Saccharomyces cerevisiae S288C: one gene and its partners. Changing the gene in region 1 together with any one later gene gives a genetic interaction. Each region holds a gene or a part of one and is shown on either strand. Other genes may lie near its edges. The genes, in order: GAB1, RGD1, CWH43 and ALG8.

Region 1 (5,103 bases):
CGGTTGTTATTAACAGTCAATCCAGACGCAGATATTTTTATACTAGGAGAAGATACAGCCATAATAAAGGTAAATATACAAAAAATAAAAGTCTCTGACATGGAAAATAATACTTCTACATACGGCCAAACAGTACAACCAGTTTAACGGAAATATGATGAAAACTATGTGTACTCTAATTATTATATAAAGCATCTATAAAATGAATCATGAGGATTAGGCCGTGATCTTCGCGCTCCATATATGGAGAATACTTTTAATTTCACAGGAGAAATTAAGATAAATAACTTGAAAAGTCCACTGAGATTGGTGAAAGTGTTTCATCCTCTTTTTCAGTTTCCCTTGAACGATAGGGTGGAGTGGGACAGGCGGGAGATATGTTTTCCTGTAACGGCTGCATCTCTGGTATATTTCCATCCCGATTATATGTTTTCATGGGGCTGGAAGTGAATAATGAATTCGTTCTTCTTATTGGAGACGGGGAAAGATCAATTTTCAAGGGCTTAATCTCATCGTTTTCTCTAGCTAGATTAGACATGGTTCTCCTAGATTTGGTGTATGATGGATGAATGTTTGAAGAATCTAGTAAATCCTCCAAAATCCTGTACTTCTCATTTGAGTAATTCAATGCTTCTTGTAATGATTGTAGCTTGCTTTCCAAGGCTTTTATTTTCTCATCTCTTTTCTTAATTTGCCGCTGTAGAAGAATTTCTCTATCTAAGTATAATGATTGATTTCTATCTTTTCCACTCGACCCGTCAGAACTACCACTTCTTAGTTCACTGATCCGTTGCTTATTGTATTTCAACTCCGATATCTTTCTCTTAAAGGCATCACTCCTTAGGATCCTAGATTTGGCTGTATCTGTGTCCATATAAGAAGGTCTTCCCTGGGATCTCTTCTTCAAAATTCTAGTCATGTCGCCACAAACATTTTGCATCTTGCTCATATTTTCATTATCATTGGAAAAAACATCTCTGATTGTCTGGAATATCTTTGTTAACCTTCGTTTGGGTGTTTTCCTCCTGTTAGTACGAATTTTTTCTTCAGTTTTCCTATCTGTCACCTTTCTAGGTCTTTTTAGAACGCTTTTACCCGTAGGACGCATCTGCTTTCTTCTGCTCCTTAAGGCAGATCGTTTTCTCACTTCATCAAGGGACCCGTATTCTCGTTTCCTGCCATCATCTCGTATTCCAAAAAAATCTTTCCACAGTCCCTGTACGGATTTTAGCATATTACCAATGTCTATTATTGTACCTTTCTCTTCAGAGTATCTACTTGTTCATGTTCAGCAATAATTTCATAATTGTTGATGCGCGCATCGTTTCTATACTATGACGCGTCACGAATTGTGCTAGAGTGGCCTCTAATGAAAGTATAAGAGGCGTTGGCGAAGGTCAAGGATAGACCATTGGCTGTTTCGGATGAGTTATTTTTAAAGTGTAAAGGTATAACATCAAATGAATGAAAATTAACATTGATCTCAGCTCTCAATTTCTTTCCTCATTTGTTTTCGATGTTTCTATATGAGTATACATTAAACAAGTAAATCTCAAGCTCTTGTCAAAACAGTTATTTCCAACATATCTATCTGCATTATTGGTAGCATAATTCTCAAAGGAAGCTAAAACATCCTTCTTAAAGACGTCTATTGGCAAACGATATGTTACGTATTCCGGGTAAAACAAATATTCCATTAAGTGAAATGACCTTTGTTTTCAAAACTAACCAGTTTTAGAACAGTAATTCATATAAACAACGTGATCTTATATGAAAAACTCACCAAAAGGAGACCAATGGATTCCACAGCACTTAAGGTAGCTCTAGGCTGTATTGCAATTCGTTTGGCTGTGAACAGCCTTTTTCCCTCTCTACAACAACAACTGGACCAGTCTGTAGAATTCTCAACTCCCGTAACTTCATTTAGGTCACTACAGGAAGGTATATACCTACTGCGGAACAACATCCAAGTATATAATCATGGGGTTGTTCACCATCCTCCAATTTTGATTTTTTTTCTTTCCCTCTTTAATTCCGACAGGTTAATTTCCCTCATATACGCTTTAATTGATGGATTAATTGCGTATCAGCTGACAGAGGTAACAAAGGCTTTCAAAAACTTGAAACTGAAAGTTTGGCTACCTGGACTTCTTTATGCCGTGAATCCTTTGACCCTTTTATCGTGCATTAGTCGGTCATCAATCATATTCACAAATTTTGCTATTTCATCGTCATTGTATTGCATATTAGCTGAAGGAAACGTTCTTTTGTCCTCTGTTATGATTTCTATATCTGGATATTTGTCAGTATACCCTATTCTCCTCTTAATTCCGCTATTAGGTATGCTGAAAAGTTGGAGGCAAAGAATATTATCTGCCATTGTTTCCATACTATCTTTATTAATTCTGCTATTATTCAGCTACAGTATATTAGGCAGCCAAAGTTGGTCATTTTTGACACAGGTTTATGGATCTATTATAACCTTTGAGAAGGTTTTTCCAAATCTGGGTTTGTGGTGGTACTTCTTCATTGAAATGTTTGACACCTTCATACCGTTCTTCAAGGCTGTATTCAACATTTTTATTGCAGTATTCATTACACCATTTACTTTGCGCTATCATAAGCAGCCATTCTACGCATTCATTTTATGCATTGGGTGGATTGTCCTTACAAAGCCATATCCCTCACTAGGTGACGCTGGTTTTTTCTTCAGCTTCCTACCTTTCTTCACGCCACTATTTGGATATTTAAGATACCCCATCATATCAGCATTACTGTTTTTACACGCAATTGTTTTGGCGCCAATTTTCTATCATCTTTGGGTTGTTTTAGGTTCAGGGAATAGTAATTTTTTCTATGCTATTTCCCTAGTTTATGCTCTGGCTATAGCATCTATATTAGTTGACTTGAACTGGGCGATGCTGAGAATTGAATACGATAACGGTATCCCAAATTTCAAATTGAAGGTAACACAAATTTAACTACTTCCCGTCTATAAACGTACATAAACTAGAATAAAAAGAACCATACAGATGTTCATCGTAAGAGTGGATAAAGCGAATATGAGAGCCATATTGGTTATTCCAGAGGCTATCTATTTTTTAAGAGAAACTGCTTGGTTAAAATTTGCATAATATTGTCTCGGAGAGAAAAGATAGAACTCAGAAGGACCTAATTAATCATGAGCGTTATAATACGAAGAATTGAGATAGAGTGTATGATCTGCGGATTAAGCTCCTACATAATAACAACATTGTACTTGGGACTATGCCAATTTCTTTCCCACCAAAAGTCGTATGAAAAAGGTTATCTTCGCTAGGGCTTCCATTAGGTGAAAGCCAATATATTATCATAGAATAGCACGGCATAAATATATATTTTGTGCTGTCTTTTTGGGAAGGGTAGTTTGACAACCCATGTACATTAACATAAAAAGAGCTTTATCATTAACGGACGAAGAAAGAATGTGTATCGCGTATTTTTAGACTATCGATAATCTTTTTTAAAGTTATGGTAGATAGAAGATGGAATCAGTTACGAAGTGATGAGTTCCCATACATTCCAGCCTGTTTACATTAGCTAATTTAAAAAAAAAAAACATAATTAGAATATTACGTGATGACTCAGTTTAAACGGTACTCTGTAACACATCATTTCTATTTGTTGTTCTAAAACAGGTTCTACATATTTGGATCTGCTGTGAGAATGACCTAAAAGGTAAAACTCTCTTTGTAATAATCCAAGGAAAGTGGGAGTTCCTTGGGGAAGCTCTATTGCAATATATTGTAGTTTCCATTCAGCCTGCTTATCGCCTTAGGAAAAAGGAATGTAAGAGGCAGAAAAGTGCGGCGCAATCGTTCGGACAGCGAGCCGCCATTATAGGTAAGAATACTTAAAGAGCTTCGCCGGATATTATTACAGTGTATTAAATTTCGCCAAGTCTTTGCCAATGGAAATGGGTGCATAAATTTATGTGCTTGGTACATATGAGTTCAATAGATATGTAGTAGTTGGATAGTAGATAGTTAGGATATATAATCATGGAAGGGTTACTCACAACGAATCACATAATGAGTTATGATTTTCACTGTGCTCATCTGTTGCCCCTACAAGGGGTGATCAATAACAAACAATTTCATTAAAAAAAAAAAAAAAACTAAGTCACTATAACTAAACGTAATAACTATGTATATGAAAGAAAATAATATCTGTTCGTCATCTAGTTTAATACGGCAACGAGTTTTTCACCAGAGTTCTTACCATATTTGATGTCTTTTAGGATATGAGGAACATCACAAAGCCCGTTCTTATAGACCCTTACTGGAATATGGCGAATTTGTCCATCATTAATCTTTGGATTGATGAATTTGATAAATTTTATTGCAGCTTTCCTAGCTTCTGAGTCGGCTGGTAAAGTAATGTTTCCAAATGGTACTTCATGGCCACCTATTGAATATAGCCTTATTATGTCAATAGTAACGTTTTGTCTCCTGTTCTCTTTTTTGACGTTTTCTTCTGTCAAATTTTTTAATTCAACAATTGTAGCATCCTGTTTATCGGCCGCACATTTGTACACTTGTTGAAGCGTATCTTGATTCGCGACACAGTCGACTAAATACGAGATATTGTTGTACTTGTGTTTAATTTGTTCTACCACGTCAATATCATGATAATCAAATAATTCATCAGCACCATATTCTTTCAAAAGTTTTTCGTGCTTCCGAGAAGCCACAACAATGATCTTGGTGAAGCCATTCAATTTATTGGCTAATTGGATGAGCGACTGACCTACTGCAGTTGCACCGCCCCATAATAAGATGGGGCCTTTTCTTTGTGGGGTTGATGGCTCCCACTTCAGGTCCAAGCCCAAGTTATAGGTCAACACCAAGCCGGCTGTGGTCAGTGACACTGGGATAGTGGCTACACCTTCCAAAGACCTGACAGGGCCGGCAGGTAGAACATCCTCACCCAAAAATTTGAGTTCATTGGGTGATTTGTAGGCAACCACAGTTGAAATAGCAGAATATTCAGCAAAAGCACCATTGGAAGGAAACCTTACGGAAGATCCGTGAATGAACCCATAAATATAATCACCGATAGAAA
Region 2 (5,881 bases), on another chromosome or scaffold:
GTTTTCCTCAGAAACAGATGTTCAGCAATTCCTCCATTTAAATTACATATATCAATCTCACTTCCAAGCTTTGAGTGGACAAATAAACAAATATTGCGGCATGAAGAAATACTACGAGTTAAAGTTTGCAGCAATCGACTACTTAGAAACCGAAGTCCAAACTACCGGGCTTACACTCTCAAGATTCTGGGTGGCATCTTTAGATGAGTTCATTAAAAAAGAGCGATGGCCAGATAATGGATCTAACTTTCAAATCTTTTACAAACTAATGGCTGAGTATTCGTCTTGGAAATGGGATTCTGATGATAAAAGGCAACTCCAGTTCATGTACGAATTTCGAATGAAACTCAAAGAATGTTTGGTGAAATTTTACGAGAATTTTGATCTTCAAAAATCTAGCGATCCTCTGAAAGAACTCATTATACCTTGGGAAAAGATTGTTTATGTCGCCAACTGTATCGATGCATTCACTGGAGAGCAAGTTAGGATCGACGGTGCTGAATTAATCTGGACATCCAAAAATCTTGTGTTCTCTTCGATTTCTTCTGCCGTTCTTAGATTAAATGACCTTCAAAATATGTTCAGCGCATTCCGGCCTTATGGGGAAGAAGCATTAGTTCAAGACTTTGCGCATATACGATCTTTAAAGTGGGATAGTAATGATAAAGTTGAAAGCTTAATTCGTGCCCTTATTTTTAATGATATGTTTCCTTATTTCAATAAGGAACAGGTAGATACGAAGGCAGATGGTATATTCTTTTTGCGCTTACTGAGAAAAAACTTCAAAGAACACATTAATGACGTTAAAGATTTTCATATTCAAGTGATAAAGTACTTGAATTCCCAATTTAAAAATAATTACAGCACATTGATGACGTCATCGAAAACTCAGGATAGAAGGAAAAGTCATAATATGCCTTCTTCTATCTTAGACGATGGTAACAAAATTGGAATGCATGTTTCGCCTATCGATGAATACTCACATTTTATTGATAATGATGAACCGTTGTGGCGAGACAAAGTATATCCAAAGATTTACACAAATGAGCAAACACCTACACCTGACGCATCAGCAATATTTGATTCTCACAAGATATATGCAATTATATCGCTGCTGCGATATTACTTACCTGAGAAGAGAAAGTTTTTTCGGATTTATTATCTGCCCAGTATTTTTAAAAGGATATTATATTACGGTGCAAAGTTTGCTCAACTATATTTCATGGAAGGTTGCTTGGAACGGCTAGTAATAGAATCTCTCCAAATTCTAGAACCCTCTTTGGTACATGCGATAAATAATTTGATCAAGTCTAGCATAGAATCACTCAAAAATGTAACAGTGACAAGTGATGACAAAACTTCATCTGGTGTCATTATTTTGTCCTACAAAGAATTTAAGTCACTATCTGAAGTTAACAAAGATTTCAATGAACCATTTTGGCCTAACCAATCAATTGCGAATAGTTGGCCAGATTTCGCGAATAAGCAATTAAAGAGGGGTCAAATTTTGCAAGACGCATTTGCATTCCACCTTTTTGAAATTGAACTACCAATTATTATCGATACTACAAGAAATACGCATTTGAAACTCGTTTCCAACATGTGTACTACGAGCATATTGTACTTATATAATGAAGTTGATTCCTTATCATTAACTAGCATACAGGAAAAATTAGCTGTTTTACCGACAAGTAAACGGAATGAAATCTTATTGTACAATTTGAACAGGCTAACAAAATTGAAACTATTGTTGTTGAAAGAGAACGAAAAAGGACAAAAGTTTTACGCATTTAATTTTAAGTACAAAAGGGATGGACAGAAAACATCATTAATAAGGTTAATTTAACAACCGTGAAGACAGGGAGTTGGACCTTAGCAAGTTTTGTAGTAAATTATTATGGAATAGTACAACAGAATTTTTTTTTTTCTCAATATATAATTTTCCTTTGTTTTTACTTAAATCTGATAACAGCGTCAATGTACATACAAGTGGAAATTAAAGACGGAATGAAAATATCATAAGTGCTATGTTTATTCAGGCTCAAAAGCTTGATCTGAAACCTCTAATAATACTTCCATTGCCATAATTTGAAAATTTACATCATTAGCGTCATCTGGATTTGCAGGCGCAATAGTTGGACCCCAAATTATACAAAGAGCCCTTAAATTCATTCTGTTTTGGGCTTCATGTGCCAACACTCTTTTCAAATGAAAGACAAGAGCCCTTAACGTCCAGTATTGTGCGTCGGGGAGGTTATATATTAGTCCGTGCATAAAATTTTTTCTTGTTGTTGGGTCTTCAATTTGTAAACAAACCTTGATCTCCGATGATAGGGCCTTTGGTAAAACACTATCAGGCAGCGACGCAAAAAAAGTTTTCAGCAGTGATCCTACTAAATAAATATCCGAATCAGAATGTGGCTTTGATGGTAGAATCATGGAAATGTTTGCGGGATCCTTATCAATTTCCTCCTTCAACTTGCTGACATCAAGTACATTTGCCGATTTTCTATAAATTCCTTCTTGATCAAGCCCAAATTTATCAATAACGTATATGCATTGGCGCACTATCGCAGGGACCATGTCTTGTTCGAATTCTATCAGTGATTCTAGCGGTACACCAAATGTTTTGAAATTTTTTTGAACACCGGGTGGCATATTGTTGTTAGTCTGAATGTGAGAAATCGGGCGATCCGAGTCTAAAGAGTTAATCAATTCTTCTGGAATTTGTGGACTATTGTTGCCAGGATCCAGGGTCTTTGTTATGGATGATGTGGTGTCGCTTGTTACAATGGAAGAAGACGGTGACATAGCGCCAGCCGCATTGCTAGTGGAAGAAATAGATGAAGCCATAGTAGGTGGTAACTGCTTGTTGGTATTTAAGGACGGTGTAGCACTGTTAAGATTAGCATTCGGAACAGCGGCAGTGTTACTACTACTGCTCAAAAATGGAGATTCATTATGAGTGGATATCATTCTCTTCGGGATGGAGTTTCTTGAAGGGTCCACGGCAAACTTTGGGGGGCTCTTATTTTTCTGACCATGATTCATTGATGGATGCTTTTTGTATGATACAGGGATCAAGTTTTTGTTGATCAGTAGGGAATGTTTTCCTGTTTGGTTATACTTGTTCAAAAAACTGTAAAGATCACGTTCATTGGAAACAGATCCAGCAAATGATTTCATAGATTTGGTGGAGTCCAATGGGCTTATTGTAACACCTGTATTCAGAACCAAATTTTCCGTCCATATCGTGTACTTCTGCAATTGGATAGTCATCGCTGTGTCTATTTCTAAAATCAAATCTTTTAATTCTTGAACAATTCTAGGTCTCTCCTTCGTTATGAATGTGTTTCTCAAAGAATTAGAATGATCTACTTTTTGCTTATATTCCAGATCGGCGTTATCGATTTTTCTTAACAATTCTTCTTCTTGTTCCTTCGTAGTTTTGGAACCTCTCAAGGTCAGCTTTGTTTTTGTTGGGTCAGTCATCCTCAATTTGTCCCAATCTTGGCACAACGAATTGTAACGAGATTGCGCCTTTTCTGCGCTGTGTATGGCATCAGAAACATCCTTTTCCAGCCTTTTGCTGTTCTCCTTGACAGACTTTCTTAATTTTGTCATTGTTAATAAAAGACTACTAATCTCGGAGTACATTTTCTGCAAGGCGGTGATATAACTCTGCTTTACTTGAGCCATCTTGCCATCGAATCCCAAAACTTCGTGAATCATCTTTTTTAAGGATGAATTTGTGGAACCCTGAATGTTGAAAAAGTGCTTATATTGCTTGGAGAGCTCCTGAACGTGCTCTTCTTCGAAGGCGTATTTCTTTCTAATAAATTTCATAAACTCTTCACAAGTCAACAACGACTGCTTTAAACGGCTCAACAAAGCGTTAATTGCCACATCGGAATTTAGCACCTTCTTGATCTCTGGCGTGCTAAAAAGGTGCGCCAAATCGTCGGTGCCACCATCGTGCGACGACTTCGCACTTACTGTGGCACTAGCTGGTTTCTTCGCAGTCTCTTCCATCTTGTCTATATCACTTCTCTTTTAATCTTCCGAGATTGTATGTTTTTACTTTACATACTATTTTGTTCACATTCTTTATTTTCTGGGTTCTTTTTCCATATATATCGAAAAAAAAGTCTATATAATGGCACAAATGGTGAATGCCAGCACAAGAAAAGGGGCGTATCTATATAAATCTATGCATCCTTGATCCTAGTTTGGCATGGGCTTGAGTGCGTACATCCTCACTGGGTACAATTCTCTTGGTAAGCCACGTTGTCTTTCACTGGCGATGAGCTTTAGGCCAGCTTCTTCGAAGATTTGCCTGAACTTAGCATCTGACCTTGTGACCGAAGAATCCGTTTCGTCGAAATCATCGGTATCTGTAGGTGTGTTATTTTCTTTGACCACGATTGTCCCATTAGGTTGCAAACCAACAATACATCTTTTCAGGAATGCGACGAGTTCTGCATCTGGCAGGTGTCCCACGCACCATTGGCACCAGATCAGCCAGTACTTGCCGGCATCGGGGGTCCAGTCCTGCATCCCTACTTCATATATTTGTCCAATTTGGCCTTTGTCTTTCAGCTCAGCCAATTCAACGTGCATTTGCTCGATAAAAGGCTTTACCGGTTCTACAAGGTCTATCTTAGCGGCGTGCTTGTGAAGCATGGTCTTGCTTACACGTCCAATCCCCGCACCAATGTCTACAGCGTACTTCACGTTGTTCTCCTGAGGCAGCATCCTCGACTTCAGTTTACGCAGGAAGTTATTGGATCCCAGGACATCCATTGTGGGTACTACTGTACCTTCTCCGTATCCACCTAGAACACCATCCACAGTGGCGTCCACATCCGTCCAATAGTCGATGGCATCTTCGTATTTGATATGGGAATCTGCAGGCACGTCCATCGTTGTTGTTTATGTATTCTTTCTTGGAGATGCTCTTGACACCGATGCACATTACCAGAGTGAAAAGTACTGATTAATAATTAAATTTTTCTTTTGATATTTTTTCTGAATATAAAGTTCTACACAGAGTCGTTACAATAGGTTATATACATGAGGATGTTCGTTACAGTAGGAGAAATAGAAAGCTCGCTAATTCTTACCCCAGGAGTAGATCCAATCGACAGAGTTTCTTATCTGTTCATTCCAAATATCTTTTATGCTCTCCCCCATGGTCCTGCTCCATGCAGTGCCATCATCCGTCACAACTAGCTTGCGGTTCCTGGTCTCCCCAGGTACCACTTCTTTTCTATCCACCAGGTCCTGTACCTGATGATCTTGTTTCAACCATGTAGCATCGTGATCGTAGAAGTAGCCATTGTTACTGTATCGGTACAGGTAAAAAACAGAACCGATTACTCCCACAGAGAGAGTCCACTTCACAGATCTTGCTAACGGACCCAATTTCGACATGATTCTCTCCGTTATCTGCTGGTTCTTAGTCCACTGTCTGTTCTGTCCCCCTTCTGTCCAAGAGATAGAATATAAAAAAGACTCATTATTTTTTTTTAGGTACTTCGCTTATTGGTGGTCAATGAGAAAAAAAATACTAAAAGCCATCGCCTCTTGGAGAAGAGCAAACTATCAAAAATCATCAAGCCGACATTTCCACATCGAGTCTCATAGTCTTTCAATCATGTTTCCCAGAGCTTCTGCATTGGCCAAATGTATGGCAACTGTTCATCGTCGTGGGCTACTCACCAGTGGTGCACAATCGCTAGTCTCCAAACCAGTCTCGGAGGGAGATCCAGAGATGTTTGACATCTTGCAACAAGAACGTCACAGACAAAAACACTCTATCACCCTTATCCCATCAGAAAACTTCACCTCGAAGGCCGTTATGGATTTGCTAGGTTCTGAG
Region 3 (6,540 bases), on another chromosome or scaffold:
CCATTGTTGATAAAGGCAGTAATATTATGTATACAGAATATACTAGAAGTTCTTCTCAAGGATATAGGAATTCTCAAAATGGAATCGGTATTTCTACATAATAATATTTTATTATTCTTTTTCATTTTATACGTTTCATTATCCTATTACATTATCAATATTTGCATTTCAGCTTCCATAACAGTTGATGACTGTTTCTCAATCTTTACGTCATCTTTTTACACCGCATGTGATAATATACTAGTAACACGAATACTACTAAAAGATGACATTTTAGAGCTTCAATCCAACAACTTCTCAGTGATGTGGCTTTCGACATTTCATATTTTTTTGTTCGAGTCCTTTTCAATAAGTGATAGTTGATGCTTATTCCAAATATTCAATATAAGCATTTATATCCTTACTACCATATCAACATGTAAATATTGATAGCCACTTATTCCAACAGAATCGGATAAGCGCTATTTTTTTTTATTAAAGCCTTCCCCTCTCTCATCGCCAAGAATTCTATTGTTTCTCCTAGACCCTGCTTTCGCGGCGCGGTATTCCTGTGCCAGCGGTAAGGGTTCAGTCATTGTATTATGTAGAAGTATCGAATGTGACACAAACATACGCCACTAATATGAGAATGCAGGCGCGATAGCTTTGTAATGTTTTTCAGTTGTATCACAGTAAACTAGAGCGGATCCCTAAATAAGTATCATCAAGCTCGATACACAAAACTTTGAAATGAACTTCTTCGACTTTTAGACGCTTGTTCAAACTTTTATCAATGATGTTGTCAATTAAATAGACTTATATTGCTGTTTCATTGTTATCGCTTTGTTAAGAGGTTGCTAGGTAAATAACCAGACATTTACTATTGCTAGTATGCGATATAATAATTATGACAACTCTGGAAGTTCCTTCTTAACTAGAGTAGTTAAAAAGTCAGATATGGAGAAAACGTTATTATTAAATAGAGAAATTGATGACTGGAAGTCAAACGATAAAAAGAAGGCATATAAGGAACGCGGAAGAGTTTATGCAAGTTGCTCATTTATTGAAGTATCCTTTTCTCAAATAAGGGCTGTTGATGTTGAAAAAAAAATTGAGAATGCCGAACAACTAAGAGATCTTACAAGAAATATTGTTAAGAACAAAACCAGCTCTTTGAACGAAATTACACCCTCAAAGAATCGTGTAACTAGTGCATGCAATTCCGAGAGACGTACGACTAGCCAAGAAGCAAACAATCTTGAAGGCTACCATAGTTGTGCACAAGGAACTAGTCGGTCTGCCAGTATTACGAAGAAATACAGCAAAAAGACTACTAGTCGTCCTAAAAGAGAAAAGAGACAAACAATCCTCCCAAATGGTGAGATAAAGGAATGCTCTAAATGTAAAGACACTTGGACAATTCAATGGCGTAGTGGACCCGACCAAAACAGGGAACTTTGTAGTCCCTGTGGACTCGCCTATGGAAAAAGACTGAAGAAGGAGAATGAAAAAAAAAGGCAAGCAGCAGATAAAAGGATAGATCGAAACAATCCATAGTATCTATTTAATTCTTTCACCGCATAGATGATATTTTTCCACTAGGATATTCCACCTTTTTTTTTTCTAATATTGGCACTTCAGTTATAATGTATTTTCTTCGTCTTTGTTCTTATATTGTACTATTATTCATAATATTTATTACGTTTTATATGGAGTTTCTTTTTGATTAATGGCTTCCTGCTAGTATTACTATATGACTATAGCAACAAACTTTGCAGTTAGTTTTGTTGAGATTGTATGCTCAATAAGTTTAAGTGAACTTCTACAAGTTGTACCTCATTTCTCGGTTTTGAAATTAAGTATTCTTGGTTCAGGTTTGCAGTTCTTTTTAATGTTGTTTTTTACAATCAAAGTATGCTCATCGGTATATACAGAAGTGCCAGTTTGGGATTTTTGAGTCCCTGAATATGCGCTTCATGCTTTTTTATTATGTAAAGTTAGTTCGGGTAAGAAGTAGTAACCAAAAAAATCGCAACAATAGATTCTCATTCGCTTTTTGACTTGGTAACTTATAATTTCTCCACAGTATTTGCACCCTTTTAATGTCCGATTTCTCGAGGAATAAGTAACCAGGAATACAGAAGGTATCCACCGCCAGTTATGCTGATCATCAATGGGAAGATCATCCCTATAGCTCATACTATTTGTGCATTCTCCGCCTTCTTTGCAGCTTTGGTCACTGGTTATTCATTACATTTTCATAAAATTGTAACCAATGCACATTATACGTATCCAGATGAGTGGTTTCCTAGTGTATCAGCCACTATCGGGGACCGCTATCCGGAACGTTCTATTTTCCAAATCTTAATAGCTCTAACTGCTTTTCCAAGATTTTTACTGCTACTAGGTCACTACTACTTGAACCAATCTAAGGTATGCTTCCTTGTCGGTGTACTCCGGACAGTCTCTTGCGGTGGTTGGGTATACATTACAAGTACAGATGACCACGATATTCATGATATATTTATGATCACATACATTGTTTTAACGTTACCATGGGATATAATGATTACCCGCTATTCTAGTCCTTTAACTTCGAAGAACAAAGGGTTGACTGCTACAATTTTTTTTGGAACATTGTTCCCGATGATTTACTGGTACATTCAGCACTCCGTCCAACAGAGAGCTGGGGCATATTCTATATATGCTTATTTCGAATGGTCTCTGATTCTTTTAGATATTGCATTTGATGCATTTGCTTACGCTGATTTCAAAAAGATAGATATTGTTCTCGCTTTTAATGAGAAACCCGGTAATACCAGTTTTTTCCAAATTAGAGACTCTAGTCCCATAAATTATGGAGAAGAAAAAAGTTCAGAATTGCAGAAAAGTGGTGAAAAGAAGGTTGAAAAGGAAAAACCCGTTGCTAGAAGCGCAACTGGTTCATATTTCAGGTTTGACTCTTTTTTTTACTTACTAACAAATATTTTTAACGGTTTTCTTTTCTGGTCGAACGTTACGTCCCTGTTATGTAGTATTTGGCATTTCCCGCTATGGTATATGGGAATCTCAGGTTATGAAGCTGCAATATTGGGTTATTTGGGACCCATTTTCTTATATCTGCCGTTCGTTTCTGAAGCCTTCACGCAATATGGTGTACTTTTAGGAGGTATTATTGCCATTGGTGCCTATATTGTTCAGATGCCAGAATTAAGGTTGATTTCTGTAGCTGTGGGAACTTCCATTACCGTTGCAACGTTTGTACAAAATCTAAGATATATCACAAATGCGGAGACTAGTTTCTCTTTTGCTCTAACTTGGCTGTTAGGTCTTGTTGCATCTGTGATCTTGAAAATGGGGTTCTATACCAACAATCCAACTTGGGTCATTTTAGATGAACGTAATGGTGGGTATAATAAGACAGCTCTCGTGCTTACTGTTTTATTCGGCATGCTGTCGCCTTATGTTAATTCAATTAATTTCGAAGGGAAAAGGAATGCTCAAGCAAAATCTGCTTCGTTGATTGGCAAATTATTTTTGGCTGTTGGTTTTGGCTCGTTGTTATTCGGAATTCATCAGTTATTGACGGATTCTTCTACTACTATTTATTGGGCATGGGAAGGTTACAATGAATCACACGGTCCCTTGCCATGGCCTTGGGGCGCCTTAACTTGTACGGTCATGTTATTTGCTTCTTTGAGTTCTGTGAAGTTTATGGGCAAGCCATTAGTTCCATGTTTGTTGCTTCTCATATCCACTGCTGTACTTTCAGCTAGAAGCATTACACAATGGCCTAAATATATTTTCGGTGGTTTATTGTACGCTATCGCTATGCTTTGGTTAGTTCCTTCGTATTTTTCTGCATTAGGCCAAGTTCAAAACATATGGGTTTATGTCCTATCATTCTCCGTTTATATTATCTTTGTCCTTGCCCATGTTTGGGTCGTTGCATACGCATTTGTTCCAATGGGCTGGGTACTGAGGGAGAAGATTGAGACGGTTCTTGCCTTTTCTTCCACATTTATCATTATTGGTGCTTTAACATGCAAAAACCTTAACATTCAACTGGTGACTATGGGCAAAAAATTCTTCATTTATGTTTTCTTCTTTGCCGTGGCCCTGCTATCACTAACAGCTAGGTTCGTGTATGATATTAGACCTACAGGAATTCCTCAGCCTTATCATCCAGATTCTCAGTTGATTACAGCTGGTATTTGGACTATCCACTTTGGTCTCGATAATGATATGTGGGCATCTGAAGACAGAATGATCAACCTTATTAAAGATATGGAACTAGATGTGGTAGGTCTACTAGAAACAGATACACAAAGAATTACCATGGGGAACAGGGATCTAACTAGCAAACTAGCTCATGATTTGAATATGTATGCAGATTTCGGACCAGGTCCAAATAAACATACCTGGGGCTGTGTTCTTCTTTCTAAATTCCCTATCGTAAATTCTACGCATCATTTATTGCCCTCTCCAGTTGGGGAACTTGCGCCAGCCATTCATGCCACACTTCAAACGTACAATGACACTCTCGTTGACGTCTTTGTATTCCATAGTGGACAAGAAGAGGATGAAGAGGATAGAAGACTGCAAAGTAACTACATGGCTAAGCTCATGGGCAATACGACTCGCCCAGCTATTTTATTAAGTTACTTAGTTGTTGATCCAGGTGAAGGCAACTACAATACGTACGTTAGTGAAACATCCGGAATGCACGACATTGATCCTTCTGACGATGATAGATGGTGTGAGTATATCTTGTATAGGGGCTTGAGAAGAACAGGATATGCTAGAGTTGCAAGAGGAACGATAACCGATACGGAGCTACAAGTTGGTAAGTTCCAAGTTTTGAGTGAGCAAGCGTTAGTAGAGCACTCGGATTCTATGTATGAATACGGTCATATGAGTGAACCGGAATATGAGGACATGAAATTTCCAGATAAGTTTTTAGGCGAAGGTGAGAGGGGTCACTTCTACCATGTTTTTGATGAGCCACGTTATTACTTATAAGAGGCCGTAAGGTGGTTTTATAAATCAGTGTAATCACATTGTGTGTACTGAAAATCTTGATAACTTAAGGTAAGTTATGTATCCACCTGATTTTTTTGACCTCGAATTTTAAAAATTTATGTGATTTCTTTATGTATGTTACTTAGACGATCTTGTTATAGTTTTGTAAGAAATTATACTTCCTGAAACGATTTATCCCGCTACTTTTTGAGCGTATTTCACAGTAAAATATATACTACAACTGAACAACGTTGTTGAACTCTATGTTAAACATCAACGAAGAAATTCTTAAGTTCTATCTGCTCCGAGTCATCATTCTTCCAAATTTCTAGTAATTTCAGACTTCTTTGAACAAGCTCTTTATTCGGCATTTGTACTTCCTCTTGCTCGTCTTGTACCTCTTTTTGCTTCCCTTGTTCGGCATTACCGTCTTTTTCACCTTCTTCTTTTTCTTCACCATTAATTGGTTCGCTAGCCTTATCCTCTGCAATTAACGCTTTTATTTTTGTTTCTTGATCTTCCACATAGTCGTTCCATTGCTTCAGTTTTCCTTTGCATTTTGATATTAGTTCTTCTTTTGATTTACCTTGTAAGTCCCTGAAATATAAAAGCAAAAGATCATTATATACTGAGGGGATTTCGTCCAAGTTGAAAAAATGCTTAATAAGCCAATTTTGCTTTTGCTTGGAAAATTTCCAAACTTCAACAACACCAGACTCTGATGGCTCGTCTTTGATCAGGGAGTCGCCGTAATTTTCTTTTACACTTTCCAATTCTAGGATTCCGGTGGGAAACTTGCTCTCAGACTTTGTCCTGAAAAATTCTATCAGGTAACGTAATTGATCTTTAAGAATTTTATTTTTTTTCGAATTCTTTTCATCCTTTGACAATTTTTCCTTCTTCTTCGTCCCTGGTTTCGACACACGCTTCCCTTTTTTGGTAGAGGATTTGCTCTCACCATTAATGATTCTTTTTTTCTCTTTCTTTGTCAAATTACCAGTGGATAAATGCGTAGTGATATTTAGTGGATCATCATCTATTAGATTGGATTGGCCTTTTTCTTTACTTTCGTCACCACTGCTTATAGTCTGTCTCTTCAAAGCAATTCTTTTCCAGGCAGGAACGTGATTTTCGGACATTTAATTGTGAAGTGAATGTTTCTTCTGCTTGTAATTTGTCGATAAAGAAAGCACTTATGACAGTACTTTGATATTTGAATTTAGCTCATCTCTTTTCGTTCCTTTTTCTCGCTCGAAAATTTTCAATAATTTGCAGTAAAAAGGCGATGCCAGTAAAAAACTACCTGCAAAGGGAGCGTTAGACATATCTTTTATTGGCGACAAATATTTTTAGCGATATATATCCGTAAAGATCTGGCGATATTCTTTATCACTCGATGATAATAAATTCTTTTACACTTTGCTATTTTCCATGAGAACGGTTGGTATTCCTGTTCCCAATAACAAAAGCGTTTGCATATTTTTATGGTGAAGGTACTATCAACTGTAAAGTATGTACAATAGATTTATTAAAGGGAAA
Region 4 (5,503 bases), on another chromosome or scaffold:
TAAATCCCTTGTGCGATTCCGCGTCGATACCCCCATTTTTTAAGACCTCGGCAGCATCCTCTGCACCTAGTAGTTGTATCTCACTTATCCGGACTTCTGACAGATCGTTGCTATCATTAATAGCGCCAGATCCAGTCAAAAATGCCCTTTTTTTAGACTCTGAACTAAAGTCATCACTTGTCAAAAAGAGTAGAAAATCTTTGTCCTTTTGTAGAACCGGATCTTGACATATTTTTTTTAACATGCTTTCCATTTGAAATCTTCTATTTTCAATGAAATTTTCCTTAAAACTGCCTACTGATTGCTTCTCTGGTGGTGGTGGTATTACTTTACCCCAATGGTTGTTCTGCAATTGACGATATAGCCACCTGAAATCTCTGTAACGCCTGCTTACCTGTGCATATTTTAGCTCAAGTAATGATGATTCACTGATTACAGTATACTCCACATGAATGGATGTTAGCTCTCCTACTTTGACCGGGTCTTTAACTTCAACTTTGAAAGCCACAGCCTTTTCGGTTGGTGGCACCTTTGAGCCAATCTTGGTTTTTCCAAACTTTTCTGAGTTTTCCTCGACCTCAGCAGGACTTGAAATATTAGCACCTGTCTGAGGAAGATTGTATAAAGGCCTGTCCACTTGCTCAAGGATATTTTTTTCAACAGAAGCTGTGAACTTGCCCTCATTGTTTTCTCTCCTTTCATTCCTATCGTCCAATGGCTCTTCAACAAATTCATTCTCTTTTTCAGCTTTCTTTAAGGGATCAGTAAAGGGTGTTTTGATGGTATCATCGGAAGCAGTTGTTCTCTTCGCTTTCAGAGAATGGTTGCGTTTGGAGTTTCTTTGAGCTCTGGCGGAATCAAACAGAATTCGTGGTTTGCCGGATCTTCTTCCAGAGATGCTTTTTGAAGTATTTGGTGAAGTGTTAGCATCGTATATCGTATCGTCAAAAACTAAGGGAGAGTTGGCGTTTCCAGTGAACAATGCGCCACCGGATTCTCTTGTTGCAATAAATTGTGTAGTGCTATTCTTGAGATCAGCAATCGGATCCTGTTCAGGGGCTAAAGAATTAATAAGATCGTCAGCTTTGGAATTGTCATGCTCCTCTAGTTGCGGATTACCAGCCACCGACAAACCAGGGTCTTTCCATTCTGGCGCACTATCCAAGTCTATCTTGTCCGCAAATGAAGCTGTGGTCTCTAAAAGCTCATTGTCTTTTCTTTCTTCATTTGTAGATATTTGACCAATTGATTCAATTGAATTTGAAACGAGGCTCTGAGTTTTATCTCCCTCATGATTTAGTTCGTCCCAAACAGGTGCTTCTAGATTATCCTCGTAGTCCATGGCTTGTTATTGCAGGATGTATGAAAGTTTATAAAATCCCTGCTGCAAATTAAGAGATATATGGTTTCGTTCACTACGTAGTTATAGTAAATAACCTTTGCTTAACCCATTTTTCAAAGCATTTTTAAAATTTACTGTTATCACTTAGTTGTTCTTAGCGGACAACTTCCGAAAAGTGAAATTTCATTTTTCAAAACGACAATAGTGGTATAGAATTATAGAATAACATACGTTAAAAATAGCTGAAGTTCATTACAGTTCTGTAGTGGTCAGCAAGGCATTTGACGTCTATTGGATAGCCTACGATGAAAGGTGATCGTTCGAGGCAAAATATGGCTGTGACAAAGAAGGCAAAGTTAAAAAAAAATGACGAGCCAAAAAAGGTTTTGAAGACTGCCGCGACCGAAAAAGGTGAGGGATCCAAGCGCTACTCCTTATGGAATTTCTGGATAAGCACATTGTTTTTAAAATTACTATTGATTCCTGACTACTTCAGTACAGATTTTGACGTTCATAGAAATTGGCTGGCAATCACCAATAAATTGCCCATCAGCGAATGGTATTATGAGCACACTAGTCAATGGACATTGGATTATCCGCCATTTTTTGCTTATTTTGAATGGTTTTTATCGCAATTTGTTCCTAAATCTGTACGTGATGACGGTTGTTTGGATATAGTGGAGATCGGAAAGTTCGGTTTGCCAACAATCGTTTTCCAACGACTCACTGTCATCTTCAGCGAAATTCTTCTATTTGTCATCCTTCAAATATACATTAATACTACAAAGCTAAGTGAAAGATCTCAAAGTTTTGTGGTTGCTTCTAGCATTGTACTATCACCCGGGTTTTTAATAATAGATCACATTCACTTCCAATATAATGGTTTTCTTTTTGCGATTCTAATAGGCTCCATTGTCGCCGCCAAGAATAAGAGATACATCTTGTGCGCTGTTCTGTATACTACAGCCATATGTTTCAAGCATATATTTTTATATTTGGCGCCATGTTATTTCGTGTTTTTATTGAGAGCATACGTTCTCAATGTCAACAATTTCAAGTTTAAAAGTTACAAAGATTTTTTGTTCCTGATAAGATGGGCAAATCTTTTGAAGTTGGCTACCGTTGTTGTTGGAATTTTCACTATTTGTTTCCTTCCATTTGCTCATCAAATGCCGCAAGTGTTGAGCAGGTTATTCCCATTCTCAAGAGGACTGACGCATGCATATTGGGCACCAAATTTCTGGGCGTTGTATTCTTTTATGGATAAAATACTCACTACGGTAATGTTGAAATTACCGTACGTCCACACTTTTGCTACAAAATTTATTAAACCTCCTCTGATCCCTCAGAATATCAAGGAAATTAATGAAAGGCTCGCGGCAAACAACAATGGAAGTAAAGGTCTAGTTCAAGACGTATTTTTTGTTATTCTCCCTCAAATTCCTCCAAAATTAACGTTTATTTTGACGATATTTTACCAGGTCTTAGCAGTACTTCCACTTTTGTTTGATCCATCGTTCAAAAGATTTGTTGGCTCGTTGACTCTCTGTGGGTTGGCATCGTTTTTGTTCGGGTGGCATGTGCATGAGAAAGCTATAATGCTAGTCATCATTCCGTTCACATTTCTTGTTGGATTTGATCGTCGTCTTTTGGTACCGTTTATGTTAGTTGCCTCAGCTGGTTATGTTTCCTTGTATCCTCTTCTGTACAAAGGCCAAGATTTTTTCATTAAAACATTATACACTTATGTTTGGTGTATAATTTATTTTGCCGCTTTTAGAAAAACTACGAAGATTTCTTCAAGTGTAGAAAGAAGAATCTTTTTCTTGGATAGGTTGGCATTAACGTACATCTTTTCATTGTTACCAATCGTCACCGTATTACAAATATTGGATGAAGTCAAGTGGAGATATTCATTTTTGCAAAAATTTGAATTCTTAGGATTAATGATATATAGTGTCTATTGTTCATTAGGTATAATCAGCTCGTGGTTTGCCTTATCGTGGTTATATAATTTTGACGAATTACTATGGCAGTGATACAATATCGCTTCCCTAGGACGTTAAAAAAAAAGTGATATAAAATTATTTATATATGAATCGATTTTAGAAATATTTATTGTACATTTTCACCTACTAACTAATTGAATAACGATTAGATTTCGATTTATGCAGTCCCTCACGCCAGTTCCTCATTATTTTTCGTTTACGTATTGTGCGTTTTACACTTGAATTAAAATAACATTACATTAAACTGAATGAAGGTCAACTCCATTCACATGCATCAGTTGAAAGGTATATAAGTACTACTTCAATATATTATCTATCAGCTCTGGGAAAATGCTTTAAGAAGGAAAAAAGGTAAGTAAACTATTTTTTAACGCTTCATGATTATTGAATGGTCCTTTTGGCTCATATCGTTTTCATGAATCTATGACTATTTTCACTGATCATCGATTAATCTTTTCAAGGCAGTTCTAGCATCATCCTGTTTGTTGCTGTACGGGTTTTGTTTTAGTGAATCGTCAAAGCTAGAGGGAGCTTTCCCGGTTCCAACAGGGAACCCGTGTAAATTAGGAGTTGCACTGTTCGAAATTGAAGTACCTGGTATGTATTTGGTTCCTAATGAGCCATTCATGGTTTGCTGGATTAATGGAGTGCATTCAATCAAAGTGGGTAATTGAAATTCTTGATTTCTAGGAGTTGAAGGTCCATGGGCAGCGGTAAATAAATTCGCCGGCGGCTGTAAGTTTTCGCTTTTGGTGTTACCTAGCATATTTGCTACCCCTGTTGTGGTTTTTTCTTTGTTGAAGTAAATAGATGACACCCGAGACATAGATTGATGAGGTGGGGAAGCGATATTGATTTGTGGCGGGGAAGAGTTCATGTTTATGTGAGGTGGGGGTATTTGAAATTGACGCTGTTGTTGTTGCCTTTGAGTAGGAGAATTGGATTGCGATTGCACTTGCACTTGCGCCTCCAATTGAGCTTGTAATTGTCTATGGACGTTGCCGCTATCCGATGCGGTGGCTACAGTGGTGCCATTTACCATGACATTAGAGCTTCTTGGTGGGCTGAATAATCCAGGTGAACCAAAGTTTATCCATGAAGGAGGTGTGTTAAAACATTTTTGACGTCTGGGCGTATTAGATACATTGAACAGCATTTCTGGCCAATTCCCATCTGCGTCGTCAGTAAGCAATAACGGGTCACCACTTGAAAACTTAAACACGAATTCCTGCTGTTGTTCGTTAGATGCAGTAGTCGACTTGGGCAACATTTTGTTTCGAGGTGATAAGAAAACTCCCGGGCTATTAGTCAAGGTAAGTAAAGTATTAGCATCCGCGATATTGCTAATGGAATTACCGTTCTGATTGTTATTATTGCTGGCACCCACAGCATTTGTAGATTTGGATATAGTATCACTTAATGATACGGAATTTAGTGCAACATTGGGAGTAAATCCCATCCTGAATTGTAGAGAACTCTTTGGAGTGGATGGGGGCTTAAGTTGCGCGCTTGAAGGGGGTGATTGTGGTGGTTGCGAAAGCAGTATATTATTGTTTCTAGCACTGCCTATTGGAGAAGCTGAAGTTTCTATGATAGTCGGCAATTCTGTGTCGATGATGTCAGATCTGCTTGGTTTCGCTGGAGGTGCTTCGGGGAGCGTATCAGTATCACAATATTTCTCATTCTTCATCTGTTTTAAGAGAGAAAGAATACGTCTCTTCTCAAACTTGGGTGCATTTTTCTTGCTTCCTTTGTGAATTTTTTCATTTTGCATGATCTTTTTATTATTATTGTTCATTAAATGAGACGATTTTGACGATGGAGAGAAAGGCAAAGATCCTGCAATAACGGCCTTCCCACTTTCGGTAATGGTTAAAGAAAGTTTGAATTGTTCCTGTGAAGGAAACATGTAGTCATTTTTCTTTTGGAAAGCTGGAGAAGACGTCATGATAGGCGGCGAACTCTGAAGAAAGGTTTTCCTTGTTTCAGAAAACACCGTGTTATTATAGCTGTCATTCGAAGACGGGGTAGAGATCGGCGTAGAGCCATTAGTGCTCGATTTCTTGGTGGGAGTAGAAAGAAGAACGCCCCTGTATCTGCCCTTTCTCGTAGTTGCCGCCAAATTATGATGATGATCGATGCTGAGTCTTCT

What was found.
Region 2: mutations in GAB1 (region 1) and RGD1 together harm fitness more than expected from each alone (negative genetic interaction), as found in Saccharomyces cerevisiae (3 studies listed by BioGRID).
Region 3: mutations in GAB1 (region 1) and CWH43 together harm fitness more than expected from each alone (negative genetic interaction), as found in Saccharomyces cerevisiae (3 studies listed by BioGRID).
Region 4: mutations in GAB1 (region 1) and ALG8 together harm fitness more than expected from each alone (negative genetic interaction), as found in Saccharomyces cerevisiae (2 studies listed by BioGRID).

Annotation. Positions count from the first base shown.
Region 1 is NC_001144.5:1,055,538-1,060,640, forward strand, and holds GAB1 (GPI-anchor transamidase subunit GAB1), read left to right. Parts: upstream 1-1,796; coding exon 1,797-2,981; downstream 2,982-5,103. Other genes in the region: YLR456W (pyridoxal 5'-phosphate synthase), read left to right, coding at 1-147; NBP1 (Nbp1p), read right to left, coding at 275-1,234; YLR460C (uncharacterized protein), read right to left, coding at 4,220-5,103. UniProt on the Saccharomyces cerevisiae protein: Component of the GPI transamidase complex. May be involved in the recognition of either the GPI attachment signal or the lipid portion of GPI.
Region 2 is NC_001134.8:730,608-736,488, forward strand, and holds RGD1 (GTPase-activating protein RGD1), read right to left. Parts: upstream 4,033-5,881; coding exon 2,032-4,032; downstream 1-2,031. Other genes in the region: YBR259W (uncharacterized protein), read left to right, coding at 1-1,846; TAE1 (N-terminal protein methyltransferase), read right to left, coding at 4,225-4,923; MIC12 (Mic12p), read right to left, coding at 5,113-5,433; glycine hydroxymethyltransferase SHM1, read left to right, coding at 5,657-5,881.
Region 3 is NC_001135.5:143,234-149,773, reverse strand, and holds CWH43 (Cwh43p), read left to right. Parts: upstream 1-2,139; coding exon 2,140-5,001; downstream 5,002-6,540. Other genes in the region: SRD1 (Srd1p), read left to right, coding at 871-1,536; RNA-binding ribosome assembly factor RBP95, read right to left, coding at 5,268-6,140.
Region 4 is NC_001147.6:449,607-455,109, reverse strand, and holds ALG8 (dolichyl-P-Glc:Glc1Man(9)GlcNAc(2)-PP-dolichol alpha-1,3-glucosyltransferase), read left to right. Parts: upstream 1-1,647; coding exon 1,648-3,381; downstream 3,382-5,503. Other genes in the region: VAM10 (Vam10p), read left to right, coding at 897-1,241; VPS5 (sorting nexin 1), read right to left, coding at 1-1,342; MSA1 (Msa1p), read right to left, coding at 3,785-5,503. UniProt on the Saccharomyces cerevisiae protein: Dolichyl pyrophosphate Glc1Man9GlcNAc2 alpha-1,3-glucosyltransferase that operates in the biosynthetic pathway of dolichol-linked oligosaccharides, the glycan precursors employed in protein asparagine (N)-glycosylation.